Linked DNA regions of Danio rerio. The protein of the gene in region 1 purifies or fractionates together with the protein of each later gene. This does not show direct contact. Links are inferred from orthologs where the notes say so. Each region holds a gene or a part of one and is shown on either strand. Other genes may lie near its edges.

Evidence for each region.
Region 2: the proteins of kmt2cb (region 1) and paxip1 purify together in Homo sapiens (affinity purification with mass spectrometry; 4 studies listed by BioGRID and IntAct, with this or other methods). This does not show direct contact. The link is inferred for Danio rerio from reciprocal best matches to the Homo sapiens genes KMT2C and PAXIP1.

What each region holds. Positions count from the first base shown.
Region 1 is NC_133177.1:13,460,126-13,468,870, forward strand, and holds part of kmt2cb (histone-lysine N-methyltransferase 2C), read left to right. Parts: intron 1-2,194; coding exon 2,195-2,311; intron 2,312-2,396; coding exon 2,397-2,470; intron 2,471-4,794; coding exon 4,795-4,903; intron 4,904-7,043; coding exon 7,044-7,136; 3' UTR 7,137-8,745. UniProt on the Homo sapiens protein: Histone methyltransferase that catalyzes methyl group transfer from S-adenosyl-L-methionine to the epsilon-amino group of 'Lys-4' of histone H3 (H3K4).
Region 2 is NC_133177.1:32,869,736-32,879,243, reverse strand, and holds part of paxip1 (PAX-interacting protein 1), read left to right. Parts: intron 1-210; coding exon 211-321; intron 322-4,225; coding exon 4,226-4,864; intron 4,865-6,070; coding exon 6,071-6,959; intron 6,960-7,125; coding exon 7,126-7,220; intron 7,221-9,139; coding exon 9,140-9,232; intron 9,233-9,395; coding exon 9,396-9,508.

The DNA.
Region 1 (8,745 bases):
GCAGCACGGGCAGAAAAAGGTGGCAGGACTGCGTGAGCCTACTGTGCACCTTGGGGAAGAAGGGGACGTGAGGCTTCGAAGGCTTGGCCCTCTTGTCCTCCACGTAGCACTCATGTAGTCGGTCTGGCCGAGCTGGGGAAAAACCATCTCCAACCCTGTGGCCGAAGCAGCCCGGTAAAGCACGGCTAACATGTTCGTTTCAGGATCCGTGACAGCGCTTACCTGCCCGGAGGGGGCGAGCTGGTCTGGATCCTTGCAGTGGACGTCTGGTCCCCGGTGTCATCGAGCGTAAGGGCTACCATTTGGTTAGACGGATCGCTTCCCCCAGCTCGAAGCTTGGATGGAGCGTTTGGATGAGCGAGAGGTCTACGGACCCAGAGGTGATGGATAATTTCCCACTGGAACCCCTTAGACCTGCCCGAGTGCCCGCTGCAGTGCAGAGGACAGCTGGGGTGGTTCGCCCTTTTGCAAGAGCTTGCCGCGATCTTAGCAGTGCAACAGACATGCCATCGCAATGATGACACGATTTGCCCGCAAGCACCGCATTAACATGCTGGACCCCCAGACATGCAACGCAGTGCTCATGCCTATCATCCGGGGACAGGAAAACACCGCATCCAGAAACGCAGTCGGAGCGCCATCTTGAAAAGGACGTGCTACACGACTGTGTTGCTCTTTTAGGAAATTTGCAAAAATACGCACCGCTCTGGAGGAACGGACCCAAAGAACACCAGGCAAGAGCTCGACCGTCTGCTGCTGCGTGTACACACTCTGGACCGGAACACAGCTCTCGTTTGCTTGAAATCGCTGGATATCATCAGGAAGAACCCTCATCGACTCTCTTAGAAGGCTGTAGAAGTCTCTGAAGCAAAAAGGATGCCTCACCTTGCTTTCACTGTACTTTAATTGTTAAATTGATTGCATCAGGTGCGCAAGCTAACGCTGCCAATTTATTGACATTTCATTAGCCCGTTTACATACACTTTCAGACTATTGGCTTTCTGAACGAAATTGCCATAAGTGGATTAAATCCACTATAGCATTGAAGTTCCCCATCCGAAGGGCAACTTTTATTCAATTCATCACAAACTGACATCTGTTTCTTATGTATCACTCAGACCTGGAACACCTCAGGGTTATGTGCTGAGTTCACTAATGTATACTCTATACCAGGGCTGCCCAATTCTGTCCTTTGAGATCTACCATCCTGCAGAGTTCAGCTGCAACCTTGATCAAACACACCTGTCTTTAATTATCAAGTATTCCTCCTTTAGATCCCACTTAGTTGGTTTAGCTGTTTTGGATCAGGGTTGGAGCTGAACTCTTAAAAAGGGTGGATCACCAGAAACAGAATTGAGCAACCCTGCTTTATACCTACACTTGTGTTCCAGCCCACCCCACAACAAAACAGTGGCTGGACTTATTTTAGGATTTCAGGAGTGGATGAGAAAGCAATTAGAGAAGAGGTGTAGCATTTAACAGATCGGTGCACCTTCATTTAATCTTCATTTACATAGCACCAAGGAGGTCATTATTGACTTTAGCAGGAATGAGAAAGTCCATGCCCCCTCTACATAAATGGAAACCACGTAGACAGAATAACACAATTTAAGTGCATCAGAATACACAATTCAGAGACACTTTCAAGGATTACCAACATCACATCATTACATCATCACAAAAAGTCATTACAGAATATCATATATTTAGCTCGAAATGTCACTGATTGCCCCCTAACTCCTGGTGCTCCTAATGTGACTGATTCACTGATAATGTTTTTGACGCTACACACTACAATGCAAAGGTTTGCAGAAATAAGTTTTAAATAAAAGAGCAACAATAATACTGTGCTAACTGACACTTATCATGACTGGTTTTCATCAAATCAACTCAGATCATTAATCACAGTATTATCATTGCTGTTTAAATTGTATTTAAATCTACTTTTTCAACTGAACCAAAGAACTTTGCTGAAAAATAACGTGGCCTAAAGTAAACCTTAATGGAATGGCTATTAAATTTGAGTGTGTAACTTTTTACCCATGTTTGAGGGTTTGTAGATGAAAGTAAGCTACAGGTATAGCTCTTTTAATTTTGTATATGAAAATGATTTGAGTGTATAGAATGTAACCTGTTTGTGCATGAGCATTAGTCTTGGGTGTTGATGCAAGTCTAATGCATCTCGTGTCTGCAGGGTCTTGGCCTGTTTGCAGCACGTGCCATTGAGAAGCAGACCATGGTGATTGAATACATGGGGGATATTCTACGCACTGAGGTGGCCATGAGGAGAGAGCTGCTGTACAAGGCTAAGGTAAAGCATGCTCAACCAATGAGAGAATGATGTGGAATGCTGTCTTAATATGTTCTTCTAAGTCTGTGTGGATTGTTTCCTACAGAACCGGCCAGCGTACATGTTCTGCATTGACAGTGAGCGAGTTATTGATGCAACCAACTCTGGAAGCCCTGCAAGGTTAGATATTATCTTGACCTGTCATTTGAGCATTGTAATATGTACATTACCCACATAGCAAAAATTTCCTGACCCAACTCCTGGCCACACAATCACTTTTCACCTCAATCCAAATACACTTTCCGACCACACTAACCTGGAGTTTAGGAGCCCTGAAAATGCTTTTTGAAAATGCTGAAGAGGCCATTTTTGTTTTAAAATGCTGCTGCTCCGTGTCAGTGTGGATGGGGGAAAACAGAGACATCTGGAAATGGAGGCATGGCTGCAGAAATTCGCTGCATCTAATTGGGGTTTTCTCAATATTTAAGTACACAAAGTTCAGTCTTGCATTCTTTCCTTGTAAGTTCTGACTTCACAAGTTTGTTATGGAAAACAAATTCCCGAAAACAAGTTCCCAAGAATACATTAGGTAATCTTTCAAAAGAGACCAGTCACTGTTTCAAAGGAAAAGACACATGGTACCACACCCTAATCAGTTAATTAGCTAAAAACACCTGCAAAGGCCCTAAGTGGTGACACCTTGCACAAGGAGGGCAAGACACAAAAGGTCATTACAAAAGAGGCTGGCTATTCACACAGCTCTGTGTCCAACCTTAATAGAGAGGCGAAGAGAAGACAAATATTTGGTTGAAAAAAAGTGTACAAGCAATAGGGATAACTGCACCCTGGAGAGAATTGTGAAACAAAACCCATTCAAAAATGTGGGGTAAAGAGTGGACTGAAGCTGGAGTCACTGATACAAGAACCACTACGCACAGACGTATGCAAGACATGGGTTTTAGCAGTCACATTCCTTGTGTCAGGCTACTCTTGAACAGATGGCATCAAAAGATTCCTAAACTAAAGACTGGACTGCTGCCGAGTGCTCCAAAATTATGCTCATTTATGAAAGTAAAATTTCCATTTCCTTTTAAAATCAGGGTCCCAGACTTTGGAGGAATAGAGGAAAGGCACACAATCCATGTTGCTTGAGGTTCAGACTAAAGTTTCCACAATCAGTGATGGTTTGGTGTGCCATATCACCTGCTGGTGTTACTCCACTGTGTTTGGTGAGGTCCATGGTTAATGCAGCTCTACACCAGGACGTTTAAGAGCACCTCATGCGTCCTGCTGCTGACCAACTTAATGAAGATGCAGATTTCATTTTCTAACAGGACTTGGCACCTGCACACAGTGCTAAAGCTACCAGTACCTGGGATTTGGGGATCATGGTATCCCTGTTCATAATTAGCCAAACTCACCTGACCTTAACCACATAGGAAATCTGTGGACTATTGTAAAGGGGAAGATGCTGTATGCCAGACCCAACAATGCAGAAGAGCTGAAGGCCACTATCAGAGCATCATGGGCTCTCATATAATCCAAGCAGTGCCACAGACTGATTAGCCGTATGTCACGGTGCATTGCTGCAGTAATTCAGGCAATGGTCATACTTTTCATGTTCATTACTTTTCAGTTGGCCAAGATTTAAAAAAAAAAAAAAACCTTTCTTTGTCTTGGTCCTAAGCAATATTCAAATTTTCTGAGACATTAAATTTGGGGTTTTTGTTAGTTGTCATCAAAATCATCAAAATTAAAATAAATAAACACTTGAATATTTTACTCTGTGTGAAATGAATGTATACATTATACAAGTTTCACTAAAAATAGTGAGAAGTAGAAAGAATCTTTTTAAATTACTTCTAGTTTGGGCGACTAATCTAATGTATTTGCACAAATATTTTTGTGTATTCTATAGAAAATAATCATTTAAAAAAGAGATTTGTGAGGAGTGTACTCATTTATGCTGAGTGAGCACTGAATAACCATATATCCATCATCCACAATGCTGTGCCAATAATTTTATATTTAATATATTTGGAATTAAATTCCTTCATTTGATTCAAAGCTTATTTTTTGTCATCATTACTCCAACTCTCAGCATCAAGTGATCCTTCTGAAATCATTCTAAAATGTAGAAATGTTTCTAATTATATTGAAATCAGTAGATAAAATCATGATATTTTTATTTTATTATTTTTCGCTGAATAGAAGGTTTATTTGTAAAAAAGAATACAGCTATGTGAAATATTTTGTAACATTGAAAATGTATTTTCTGTCATTTGTAAACAGTTTAATGCATCCTTAGTAAAGTAAAAAATTCATATTAAATAAAAAAATAAGAATAGTGTTGAATAGTGTAATAAGTTAAACTAGTATATACATTTTCTTGCACTGTTTCTGCTACAGGAGTCTTTTCTGTGCAGTTTGAAGTACAGTTATGCTCACTGAATAACTACAACCGCTTTAATAATGATTTAAGATTTATTTCATTTATTTTTTAGGTACATAAATCATTCATGCTCACCAAATTGTGTGGCTGAGGTTGTGACGTTTGAGCGGGGCTACAAGATCATCATCAGTGCTGCCTGCAGGATTGAGAGAGGAGAAGAGGTGAGATTTTATCTGTCATTTATTGTCATGCACACTAAATAAAATAACTTCATTTGCTAATGCCACAAACACAACCGATACTTTTTCTGTTTGTTTTCTTATATATTCATATATTGATATCGGATTGTATAGGACATTTAGTTGTACATTAGTTTTGCATTTAGTTTTTGTTTATTGTTACCTGACTTACAATCTCATGTTAGGTCAATAGGTGGTCTTTAGCAACTCAAACACATCAACCACATGAGCAGTTACACTCTGAAAGCAATATTAATAAATGTGTGGTTGACTACTTCTGAAAGGGGTCAACAGTTGAAAAGCTTCTAACTTTTTAGACTTTGTTTAAACATGTAACATCATCCACCTATGATCAAACTAACTGCAATGTATCATAGTACCTGGTATCAAAATAGCATTAAAGAGATGAAACGAGATTTGACAATGATCCCAAGCACACAGCAAATTTACCACAGAACAGCTGAAAATAAACCTCAAGCTGTTGCAGTAGTCCAGTCAAAGTCCAGACCTCATACTAATTGTAATGCTGTGGCAAGAGCTGTGCAAAAACTCATGACTTTAGGTAATTACTTCTAAAGTGGATCTACAGAATCATAGGCTGTCCTACTACTTTCTATCTTGGCTTTTTTTTTGTTAAATAAATTTGAATAACAAAACATAAGGCGTAATTTTAACAGTCTAGGAGTTAAGTCTAAAGGCTGATTTATACTTCTGCGTCAAGCGTATGCGTAGGCTACGACGTGGCCTATGCATGGACGCATAGCCCTCGTCGTGGCCATCATTGGTGCAGGTGCTGATGCGCACCTCTCAAAAAATGTAACTACACGTCGCAACGACATGTAGCACAAGCTCTGTGATTGGTCGGCTTGGTTAACGCTGGCGAGTGTGGGCAGGACCGAGAGCCGCGCGAGCCCGGTGGAGCTATTGTGTACAAGTGTGGATTCCCATAAAGTAGCTCTGGATGGAAAGTTTTGTTTTGTGTGTGCCTCATGTTAAAGTTGTTGCACATCCGCCGGTTTCTGCATCAAAATGATAGAGTTTGAACCACTTGTACATTAAGGAAGTGTTCAGAAAAAAACAAAACATCAGCGAAGAACCTCAACACAGAGGAACATTAACACCTTACTGCCAACTAGCATTTCGGAAGTGTTATCGCAGAGCAACAGAAATAGCGCGCAGAAGTATGACTGCACAGCTACGCGCATTGCATGCGTCGTGGGTCACGCCGATCACTTGACGCAGAAGTATAAACCAGGCTTAAAGTGCATGCCGCTTAAGCATTAAGGGTGTGTCAGAATCCACTATTTATGCTATTTTGAGGACGGAAAAATACGGTTTGTGATACGGCGCATGTTTTAACAGGGTTGTGGTTATTTTCTTAATAAGCTAAGAGTGTGTTTTGAGCATGAAGTGCATTAAACCAATCAGAGTCTCGTCTCCCATTCCCTTTTTCAGTTTGTCTCAAAATAGCAACACACCAACAATGTGGCTTAACACTCCTTCAATCATGATTCCATAAAGTGGTGCAAATGAATGAAAGATGTGACAATTAGGGTTGCGCTGGACTAAAAATAGCAACAAATCACGTCATACACGTCTTGTGCCTTATTGCGCCAGGTGTATGATAGGGTTCAAAATATAAGAGTACAAAGAAATGATAGGGAAAAATGTATTATTAACAACTCCTAAACAGATAAATAAAACAAATAAAACAAACAGTGTATGTGAAATGCTTGTTACGCACACATATCTCTGTTGAGGCTTGTTTGCATTAAGGATGATAAAGAGTAACTATATAAGCATTCACAATAATGTCCTATTGGTTTTGCAGTAGTTTGTTTGTTTGTTTGTTTTGTTTTGTTTGTTTGTTTGTATCTTCCTCAGGATGAACTCTCATTCAGATTTTTCATCAGCAGGAAAAAAAAATGTGGATAGTGATCCAGTGACTTTTTTTTCTTCTACATTCAGAAAGATCTTTTTGAAACTATTCCCATAATGTCCTTGCGAACTGGCCTTGATTTTCTTCTTTATTATGTGATGAAATATTGAAAAACAGCAAAGTATTCTGTCTGTAAACCTTATGATCTGAGATTTAACCCACTTTTGAATGGTTTTGTTGCAGCTCTGCTATGATTACAAGCTCACTCCTGTTAACGATCAGAGCAAGATCCCATGTCACTGTGGAGCAGCCAAATGTCGCAAGTGGATCAACTGAAAAACTCCAACTATGAGCTGGCAGTTCACCAGGGGAGACATTAGGAAACATTTCTAAATGTGCAAAACTAAGAGGAAAACACAACGCAAGAGTACAGCATTGTGTGAGAGCCATTCGTATCATTTTCTTGACTTGAAAGGAAAAGGTTCAGTTTTTTGCATGTGCCACGAGTCTGTGTGTGTGTATGTGTGTGTCAGATTGAATGTGTGTGTCACATGGGGCAGACTTCACCAGCAAAAGAGGATGAGAAATGAACGAAAGTATTGTGTTGGGTATCGCCTTATAGGTCGATGGTAAGGGTAACCCATTTGTACGGCGTGATCTGTAGAGACTGTATCGTAGAACTCAATGTAGAACATCACTGAATGGAGAATGTACGGAATTGACTTCCGCAAAGGGAAAACATGTTGCACTAAAAAAACAAAAAATCAAAAAGAAAAAAAGGAAAACAAAGTCACAAAAATAAATGAAAAAATACTTGATTCCATGAGTCAGTTTTATCCTAGATATCTCTCATTGTTTAGTGTAAGAAAATAAAGATGTTATGTATTTATTACTGTGCGAGTGAATGAATGGGCCTATTTTAATAGCAGTTTGATGCTGATAAAAAGGATGCCTGACGCAGTTTGAGATTCTGTTACAGACTCTGTAAATACAGTGTAAATATAGAGAAATATCTGAATGATTGACCAAATACTACCTTCATTCACTACCTTATTCATCTTGATGTTCAGATATTTTAGACGTGCTTGTTTTGTTTTGCTTTGCTTTTGCTCTTCTTTCTTTTCCCCATTGGAAATAATTTAACTGGCACATCATGATACCACGTGTAATTATTGCAAAGGTGACTTCACAAGAAAAGTATTTTCTCTGTTTAGGATGTGGTATTTGTAGTGGTTTTGTGGTTTTTACGTTAGTGCTGACCATATTGTTGGTTTTCGTTTTAATTTCATTCCATTTTATGCTCTGCTGCTGATAGCAGCTGTTCAAAGCAGAGCAGAGTTCAAAGCAAGTGACTTTCTAGTAAATCAGGTGGGATTGTAGATGTAGAGATAACTGTGAAATGAACTTTAAACCTCACACACCGATTATGAAATCACAAGCAACATGCACAAGTAGCTCTTTTTTTAAAATATATATATATAAATACAGACCGTCGTATGGATTTTATAAATGAACGAGAATAAGAAGTCATTTTTGGATGGTGTTATGAGCAGGAATCGCTGAACGAAGGGCCAGGTTAACTCTCTGAAAAATCTCAAATATGTACATATGAAAAATAGATGCTTGTATTAGTTTTATTGATTGAAGTGAAGCGCTATTCGTTTTGTAGCCAAAAATGTTTTTAACATTTCACATGCCTTGTTATTTCAATTTGGAAGTTTCTGTGTGCACAATTTCACGTTGAAAATGGACAGTTTAGACTTTGTATTGTAATGGGCATGAATTTTTTCAAAAAAAAAAAAAAAAAAAAAGAGTCAGTTGTATATATTTTTTTTCTTCAAATGAACAGCTGTGACAAAATTGTTTTATGGATATTTTCCTTGTCTTGTAACATACATCATTTTCCTAGTGTTGTTCTTTTGTTTAATTTTTTTTCTCTCTGTAT
Region 2 (9,508 bases), about 19 Mb from region 1:
CAAAAAGACCCTTAGTGGCTTCTCCTATTGTAGTAACTCTCATTTCTTCTTCATGATATTTGTCCTCTTCAGCTTATTGGATGGAAACAATGGTTTATTTGTTTTATGTGATATGCCAATTTTGCACACAAATTAAATGTGCCACTTTGTATGAAAATATAGCTACTGTCATGCAGCAGGATTGATTTACAAGCCTTGTTTTCATTACAGCTGGCAGAGGATCTTAACGCACTTTGGGCCTTTATTACATTCTATGGAGGTGACTGTCAGCTCCATTTCAACAAAAAGTGTACGCATCTGGTTGTGCCTGAACCAAAGGGGGTAAGCATGTTTTTTTTTGTGCCTATAATATTAAATGCATAGTACGCATATGGCACTGTGTATCAACACAGTGTTTAACTTCATCCTCTTTCTGAAGAAAAAAGGGGAAGGTGTGAGATTTTGCAGATCGCTTAAAGTTTACAAGTAATAGAGTGCGTTTAACAGCTGCTATTTGCAAGACTCTGTCTAGGTTTACGTCTGTGGGTTGTTTGCTATTGGATCAGTTGTGGAGTGGGACTGGCAGGCTGGTTTTGTTTTATTGGCTCTGAATGGTGCATTTTAAAAAGAATCAGTTTTATAGCCACCGTTCTTACCGTCTAGCTTTTTAAAGCTTGCCATTTATTGGCAACTATTGGTACCCAAACAAATGTCATTGGTTATATTTGGTGAGAATGCTAACCTTTTTAAATTGAACTCTGAGTTAAAAACATTCTGTATAATTTAACAATTTACTGTGCTGATTCATGCTCTGTTTTGACTTTGATGCTCTGTCTTTGACTTTGAGGCCATGGATAATTCAGAATGCATGTAAAGCTATGTAAAAATTGTAGTTGTAGTTCATTGTGTTGTTGTATATTAACTTATTTGCATGTAAATAATTGGTCTAGCTTGTTGGCTGGCTGGCTGACCATATTTTTAATTTATCTATTTGTCTAAACTTATCAGCAAATCAAACCTAAGTTTGTGTTCTCTCTGGCTCTCTGGTTTGTGTTCTCTGGGAACTCTTGTCCGCTCACAGTCTGCTCTCCTGCTTATTTATGTGGGAGTGACCTGCAGCTGGTTTGGGCTCTGCTGATTGAGGAAATTAAGCTCCGCTCACTTTTAAGGGTGTCACGATCCTCCAAATCCTCGATTCGATTACATTTTCGATTCTAAAGTGACGGTTCGATTCGATTTTCAGTTATGAATAATTAATAACAAATTAATTATTTGTAGCCTACAGTTTAAACTACCTGACCTGCATGGTCTTTGTTTTACCCATAAACAAATCATACAGTAAATGAATAAAGGCAAGTTACACACATAATTACCACCTGTCAATCTCTTTTTTTCTACGGGACTCATGAATAGGCATTGATATGTGTCGTTATAATGGCTGCGGTAAAAAAGGTGCACATGCAACAGGAACCAGCCAACAGTATCTGAGGTGTGCGCTAAAATGACTAAGTACAAGTGAGTGAAAGATTGAAGCAGTCTACTGACCCGCTAACTGCCTGTACCCGCTGTCTTGAGCGCATGGCTGTGTGTGCGTCTGTGTCTGTGTTTGGTCACGTGATGTGCGTTTTCAACGGTAGTGAGGAAAGAGGGCTGCTCAGAAATGCTACACGCCACTGTGGATGTCAAATCGTTGTCGTTCTAAAATGCCATTTAAAAACAAAGACATATTAGTGTAAACACTGCCAGAGTGTGTACTTTTCATGAGCGGATTTGCAACGGGGGCGGGGCAGAGGATCGCGATGCCGGTGTTGTCTATTGGACGAACCCTAATACGTGCGTTGCAGAGCTTGCAAAACTTTTTTTTTTTTTTTTTTGTCGACAACACGAACGTTATCAACATAACTCACTGGAAACCAAAATGCTTCCACACCGGCGACTTCATTGAAAGAGGAGAGGGTTTAAGCTCTGTCGACAGGTCTCCTGCGTCTGCCGTTTAACAAGCTCTTTAACAAGCGTGTTTTTTTCCCGCTTGGCAAGCCAAGCTGACTTGACATGGGGGCGTGGCAGCATCGACGATTCTATTTTATGATTCGATAATCGAAATTGAGCATAAATTTCGATCGATTTCGATTTAAAATCGAGATCGTGACACCCTTACTCACTTTATTGGTTAATAAGCTTACCTCACAAAAATGATGGTCATGCATTTGCTTTTGGAGACAGGTCTGTTTAAATATTATTATATATTCAACACAATTACACAATTTCTAATCAATTAAGGCTTTGGTGGGACAAAAAAAGCTGTTTTCCGGCCACTAGGTTGCTGTTGAAAGTGGTGTTCGTAAGGCTAGCAGGGGGTGCTTGACCTGTGGTCTGTGAGTCCTAATGCCCCAGTAAAAGTAAAGGGGACACTATACTGTCAGTGAGCGCCGTCTTTCGGTTGAGACATAAAACCGAGGTCCTGAGTCTCTGTGGTCATTAAAAATCCCATAGCACTTCTCGTAAAGAGTAGGGTTGTAACCTCGGTGTCCTCCATCGGCCCTCACTGATCATAGCCTCCCAATCCTCCCCATCATGCTCGTGCAGAGACTGTCCAAAGGGCATGTGCAGGATAAAATTTTTGAAGAGCAGGTGGGGGTTGTTGTTGTCGTCGTCGTCGTTGTCGTCGTCGTCGTCGCCGCCACCGCCGGGTGCATACTGAAGAGTGGTTTTGTCACGCGCGTACTGTTAAGCGCGGGGTGGTAGGGAACACGCGTACTCAGGAGCGGTGTTGTCGCGCGCGGGAATCAGTGCCCAGAAAATAAACTTTTTTTTAAATTCAACAAGAAATAGGAAAAAAATCACTTTTTTTTTAAGTCAAGACACGATGATATTGTGTATAGAAGATGCCGCATTGGACGCACAAGACTCACGCATGAACATTTACTCAAAGGAGAAGAACCCCCATAATGCCTTTATTGCAACAAAAAACAAACTGTTAAACATATTCTTGTGGAATGCCCCATTTTTAATGTTCTTAGACAACAATTTTTAACTGGAGAGACTCTAAGTGAAATTTTTAAAAATGTTAATCCTTCTAAAATTGTAGAATTTTTATCAAAAGGAAACCGTAAAAAACTGTTTTAGATTTTTATCATATATATTATCATTTTTATTATTATTTATGTATTTTACCTTGTGTATTATTTATTTCTGTTAATGACTTAATTTTTTTTAGGACTTTTTTTAAGAATATAGAAAAGTGGTATTCATAAAATGTGGTAACCTTGATCTGTTTTTTTTTTGCCATGACATAGCCATAGAAGCTGAAATGGCAATAAAATTAAAACTCTCTCTCTCTCTCTCTCTCTCTCTCTCTCTGAAGGGCGGTGGGGGGGCACTTTTGATCATTTTAGAAGGGCACTTTCTATCCAAGACTAAAAAGGACATGTGCACTGCACAGGTTGAGCCCTATGTGTGCATGTGCCTGCTCCCCATGCACTGAATTGTCTCTATTACTATCTCTCCACTCCATGTATAGCCGGTGTGTGGTGAGCGCACTGGCGTCATTGTCCTGTGGCTGTCGTCGCATCATCCAAGTGGATGCTGCACACTGGTGGTGGTGTGGAGAGAGAGACACCCCCTCATGATTGTTAACCGTAACACTAACCCTAAATCCCTTATGGTGGGCATATCCCTTATTTTTACATCCTAATGTTGACGGGTATGATGGCCTTACAAGATAAAATGCGCTATATAAATACACTTTGCTTAAGTACATCCAAAAATGTAGGAAAAACCCTGGAGTAATATTAACTTATGTTATGTTGCATGCATTTATAAAACTTTTTTTGTTATTACCAAGTATTTAAATGGCACATAAGTAAATAAGTACATATAGCGTTTGGAACAAAAAACAAATATTATAATATTCATATTTTAATCTTATTTTGTTGAAAAACTGCAGGATTTGATCAAAGCAGCTTTTTGGTTAACAAAGCCTTTTAAATTACATGCTTGGGAAGATGGTTGACGTATGTTATATTCCCAAATGCACCTATTCTAAGCAACACAATTTTTTGGCGCATGCAGAAATTAAGTTTCTGTGGAGGAGCATGTATTGTGAAATATATTTATTTAATTAAATTACAGCTTGTGATTTGATAATCGCACCGAGACAGTGTGCAATTTCTGTTTCATTTCGATCAGTCATGCAGCTCTACTGTAATTTGTTTTTCATTTGTTTGTTTTTTTCTGTATTTTCCAGGCCAAGTACGAGTGTGCTTTGCGGCATAATAACATAAAGATAGTAACTCCAGAATGGATTTTGGACTCTGTAAAAGAAAAGAACAGGAAAGATGAGATGCTATATCACCCACGACTCACATTATATGATGCACCGGAAGAGGAGGGCAGTGAGTATGAAAACGAGAGGAGCTCACGATCTGAAGGTAGCTATAGTGACAGACGCTCGCCTCACAGCCGACGCTCCAGCCCTACATCATCCCGAGACGCATCCCCAGCAGGCAGGCGCTCACCCTCAACCAAACATGAACGCAAATCAGAGTTGATGTTCGATGACTCTGATGACTCATCCCCAGAGAAGGAGGATCGCAATCTCAATTGGACCCCAGCTGAGGTGCTTCCGCCTGGTCCGGCTAAACGTCGACTACAGCCTGGCAAAGAAACCGGTTTGATCAATCTGTGTGCCAATGTCCCACCTGTACCAGGAAGCTTTGGGCCACCTGATGCACGAATGGTCGGTGCAGGTGCAGGTGGAGGTGTGCCTATGGGGGTGGAAAGATTAGAGGTCATGAGTGAATGGAATTCAGCCGCCAGGACGCTAAGAAACATCACTAACAACACTGATACCCAACAGCCCTCTCGACCCTCCAATGTGGCACATGTAAGGATTAGAATTTTCAATGTAACTTTTATATCTAAAGGAAGAATTTCTCCTATATTTATAAGGCCTAATTAGGGCTGGGTGATTTAAATTAATTGAACTATTAATTAATTTTTTGACCTCATAGTTTACTGACAGATTTTGTACAGTAAATAGGCTCACATATTACAAGTGAGAGATTTTTGATCTTTACTATCTATGATTATTTACTTTAATGTTGAACAACTGGAATTAAAACACACATTGCCTTAAACAGTCACTTTCTTGAAAAACAAAGTTGAAAAAAACTTTTGGAAACAAATTTAATCTTTAGGTTTTTCATATTAAAAGTAGAGAATAAGTAGTTTCTCTTTTAAATAAAGTACCTCTTGTATATCCTGTAAATAATATTTTAAACCATGCATTTTTTGAGTCTTCAGTAAACAAATATTTTAATATAAATAATAATCTTAATGTAATGGACAATATGCAGTCTCAAGGCTTTTCTGGCGCAGCTTACAATCATCATCAAAGTAGTGCAAAAGTAGTGCAACATCCGTGCATTCAACGCAGAAGTATAAATCAGCCTTAAGCGAGTGAGCTTACATGACTCCACATGCAGCACAGAAAATAATTGAAAAAATTGACATGGAAAAATTTGATCGATTACAGATTCTGAATGACTATTTCAGTTATTTTCGATTAATCACCCAGCCCTAGACCTAATGCTTTGACCATATTTTGCACAGTGTATCAATCTAGATATGTCCTGTGGACGCGAGAAGGTGTGCAGCTTCAACGGAATACTCTAAATTATTATTAAAGTATTTTTGTTCTGTTGAACACAAAAGAAGATATGTCAAAGGATGTTGGAAACCTGAAACCCTAGACTTTCATAGTATTTGTTTTTTCTACAATGTATATAAATGATTGCAGGTTTCCAACATTAATCAAAATATCTTATTTTTTGTTTAACTGAACAAAAATATATATAATTAGTTTAAAAAATCGAGGTTGAGTAAATGGTGACAATTTGCATTCATTCAGGCTGCAATTTGTCAATTCTGTCTAAAAGCACACAGTGAAACTTCATGCGTATAAAAAAAAAACTAATAAAGGATCAAAATTAAATATCTTTGTAGTATTTTTATAATTTAATTTGTACAAAAGGCAGAAGTGTCTTTATGTATTTTTAAAGTTTAATGAAACATATGCATTTTTCTACAGATCATCCAGAGTTTTTCCGCATCCTCTAAAGGTGTAGTGGATCATATGGGAAATCAGGGCCAGTCTGGTATTCCCAACCAGCTTCTGTTAAAAGCCCAACAGCAGCTTCCTCCTGAAGCACAGCAGCAGTTACTGCAACAACAGCAGCAGCAACAGTCACATCAGCTACAACAGCAACAGCAGCAGCATCAGATGGCACAACAACATCCCATGATGCTGCCACAGGTCATGCAGATGCACCACCATCAACAACAACAACAGCATCAGCCGCCGCCACAGCAACAACAGCAGCAGCAAAACCAACAAGGCTTTCCTCAAATGCCTCCACAATCGCATCAGTTCTTACAGCAACAGATGCATCAGCAGATGTATTCCCAACATCAACAGCAGCAGCAGCAGCAGCAACAACAGCAGCAGCAACAACATGCATTCCCACAACAAATGCGACCCCAACAGCTTCCGAGGCTGCCCTTGCAGCATCAGCAGCAACATGTGCTGCAACAACAGTTACAGTTACAGCAGCAGCACAGACTTCAGTTGCAGTTGCAACAACAACAACAACAGCAGCAGCAACAACAACAACAGCAGCAGCAGCAGCAGCAGCAACAACAACAACAAAAACAACAACAGCAGCAGCAGCAAAACCAGCAGCAGATGCACCAACAGCATTTGCAGCAGCAACAGCATTTCCTACAACAACAACTCCAACAGCAGCACATGCAACAGCTGCAACAACAGCAGCAAATGCAGCAGCAACAGCAACAACATCTGCAGAACCAGCAGCCTCTGCAACATCAGAACCAGCAGGTTAATCCACATCAGACACAGACTATGCTTCAACCTCCAATCACATCTGCACAGCTCTTTGGACACGAGCCTGGCCATGACAGTAAGTGCAATTACTTTACGATATCACCCAGCTGCACATTGTTTTGTGAGCACAATACATATAGTCTGTCTTTGTGAGAAAGTAAAAACGGAAACAGTGACTTCTCCTGAATAGAGTTGTATTAATTTATAATATTCTACGGTGACATTTATCATTACCTTTTCAGTACCTGAAGAGGGATTCCTGGTTGGCTGTATTTTTGCCATTGCTGACTATCCAGAACAAATGGCTGATAAACAGTTACTGGCCACATGGAAAAGGGTAAGCGACTCCGCCACACTCCAACAAATACTAAATTATTCCTTTAGAAAATTGATTTATTTTAATCCATATTTTAAGCTAGCATGTTATGTTTTAGATTAAATTCAACATCAGGAAAGACAGTATTTTTTTGTAGTTTTTTTTATTATTGGCAATTCTCAATCAGAGTTATTGCAAGTGAGAGAAATAAAAACCATAATACAATAATTTTACAATATTAAAGAAAAAATTGACATGGTAATTCAAGGAATTCCTTACTCTCTTATCTAGGGTTGGGCAATGTCAACTAATTTGGCATCATACGATGTCTAATGTGAAACATAGCGATGGACGACGGATGGCATCATCGTCGTAGGCGGCGGTGAAGTTTTTTTTTTATGCATAATTAATAAATTTATAACAAATTAGTTCTTTGTAGCCCACCGTTTTAACTACCTGACCCTTATGGTCTTTGTTTTAACCATAACCAAACCATAAATAAATAAACACAAGTTATACACAAATTACCACCTGTCAATCACTTGTTCTGCAGGACTCTTGCATAAATAGTTCTGCGGAAAATTACTAAGTACAAGCATAAAAGCGAAAGACTGAAGCGGTGTACTGATGCTGTGACGCGTTACCAGATAGATTCAAAAGAGTCGTTAGATAGAGACTAGATTAATTCAATATCACATTTAAAACTACAGTAAGCCTCGATCCAGTGGTACATCCTTGATAAACTGTCTGACGTGTACTGCTCTCTGGGGTTTTGTGCTTGAAGCACCCGCTGACTGCTGGAGCTCAGACCCTCGCATACTCTGCAGCATGACAGTGTGTGTGGGGTCACGTGATGTGCGTTTTCAGCAGAATAGTGTGAAAGGAGGGTTTTTTTAGAAATTCTAGGTGAAACGCTAATGTGGATGTGGATCGTTTACATTCTAAAATGCCATTTTAAAACTAAGACATATTAGTGTAAACGGGGCTGTGCGTATTTTTTAGCAAGTGGGTTGCTGCTTTGACGGGGGTAGGGCGGAGGATCGTGATGCCGGCTAAACATTGTGATGTCTATTTGCCATCGGCGATTGACCATGCATCGTCTATTGACCCAACCCTACTCTGAAGCATATTCAGAGGAAAATATAGAAAGTAAATGACAACAACAAAAAACAAACAAAACAGTAACAAACAAAAGATTAATAAAAAAAAAAAAATAAACCATTACTGTTAAACACCAGATATCACACAATTTATTTTTCGAACACGCTCTTTGATAAGTTTTTATCATTCAAAAGCAAGAAAAAAGGCAGATACTGACAGGGTTAGATATGTAGGGCAGGTCACAAAAAAGCTATTTTTTAAAATACCAAACTGTATAGAAATCCGTTTTGCCGTTAATTGTATATCTAATTTTTCTATTTGAATAAACTGCCACAGGTCATACATCCAACAAATGTAGCTTGGTGGATAATGTTTTTTCCAGTTAAGTAATACAATTCTATTAGCAAATATTAAGCAAAAGGCTAATACACTTGACTGCAAAGATGACATTTGTAGGATGAAGTCCAAACAGTGCCACTGACGGACATGGTTCAATTTTTAGAAGAAAATATCAGAGATTGGTTTAAAAATTGATTTCCGAAAATTTTTTTATCTAAGAATAAAGCCATGATAAAGGGTGGCTGGAGCTTGTCAGCATCTGTCACAAATAGGATCAATTTCTGGGTTTATTTTAGAAGATAGTATTTTTTAAAAAGTTGTTCAATGTAAGCAATGTGCAACAAACTTGAGGAATTATGTTGAATGAATTATGGAAATTTTCAAGATTCATGGAAATAAATTATTTCATTAATAGTTCATTATAATTATAAATTGTAATTAATTTTTTTTATATATACATTCCTTCAAGCATAATGCAAATAAAACATTATTTTACACAGATAATTCAGCTAAATGGAGGGACTGTAGACTCTGCTCTCAACCGCTGCACTCATTTACTTTGTGAGAGTCAAGTCAGCAACACCTATCTCCAGGTAAGCAAGACAGCTTGCTCTGAAAAGAAACATGCATGATACATTTTGCCTACCATCTGCTGTGCTGCATAGTGATATAAATGCATCTTTAATGTTATGTGTCAAGGCTTATCTTAATCATTACTTTTATAATGATCTATTATAAAATGTTTTCCTGTGCCAGGCGCTGAGGGAGGGAAAGCGTTGTGTGACGGCTCACTGGCTCAACACTGTCCTCAAGAAGAAGAAGATGGTCCCCCCTCACAGGACCCTTCATCTTCCCTTCAGCTTTCCTCC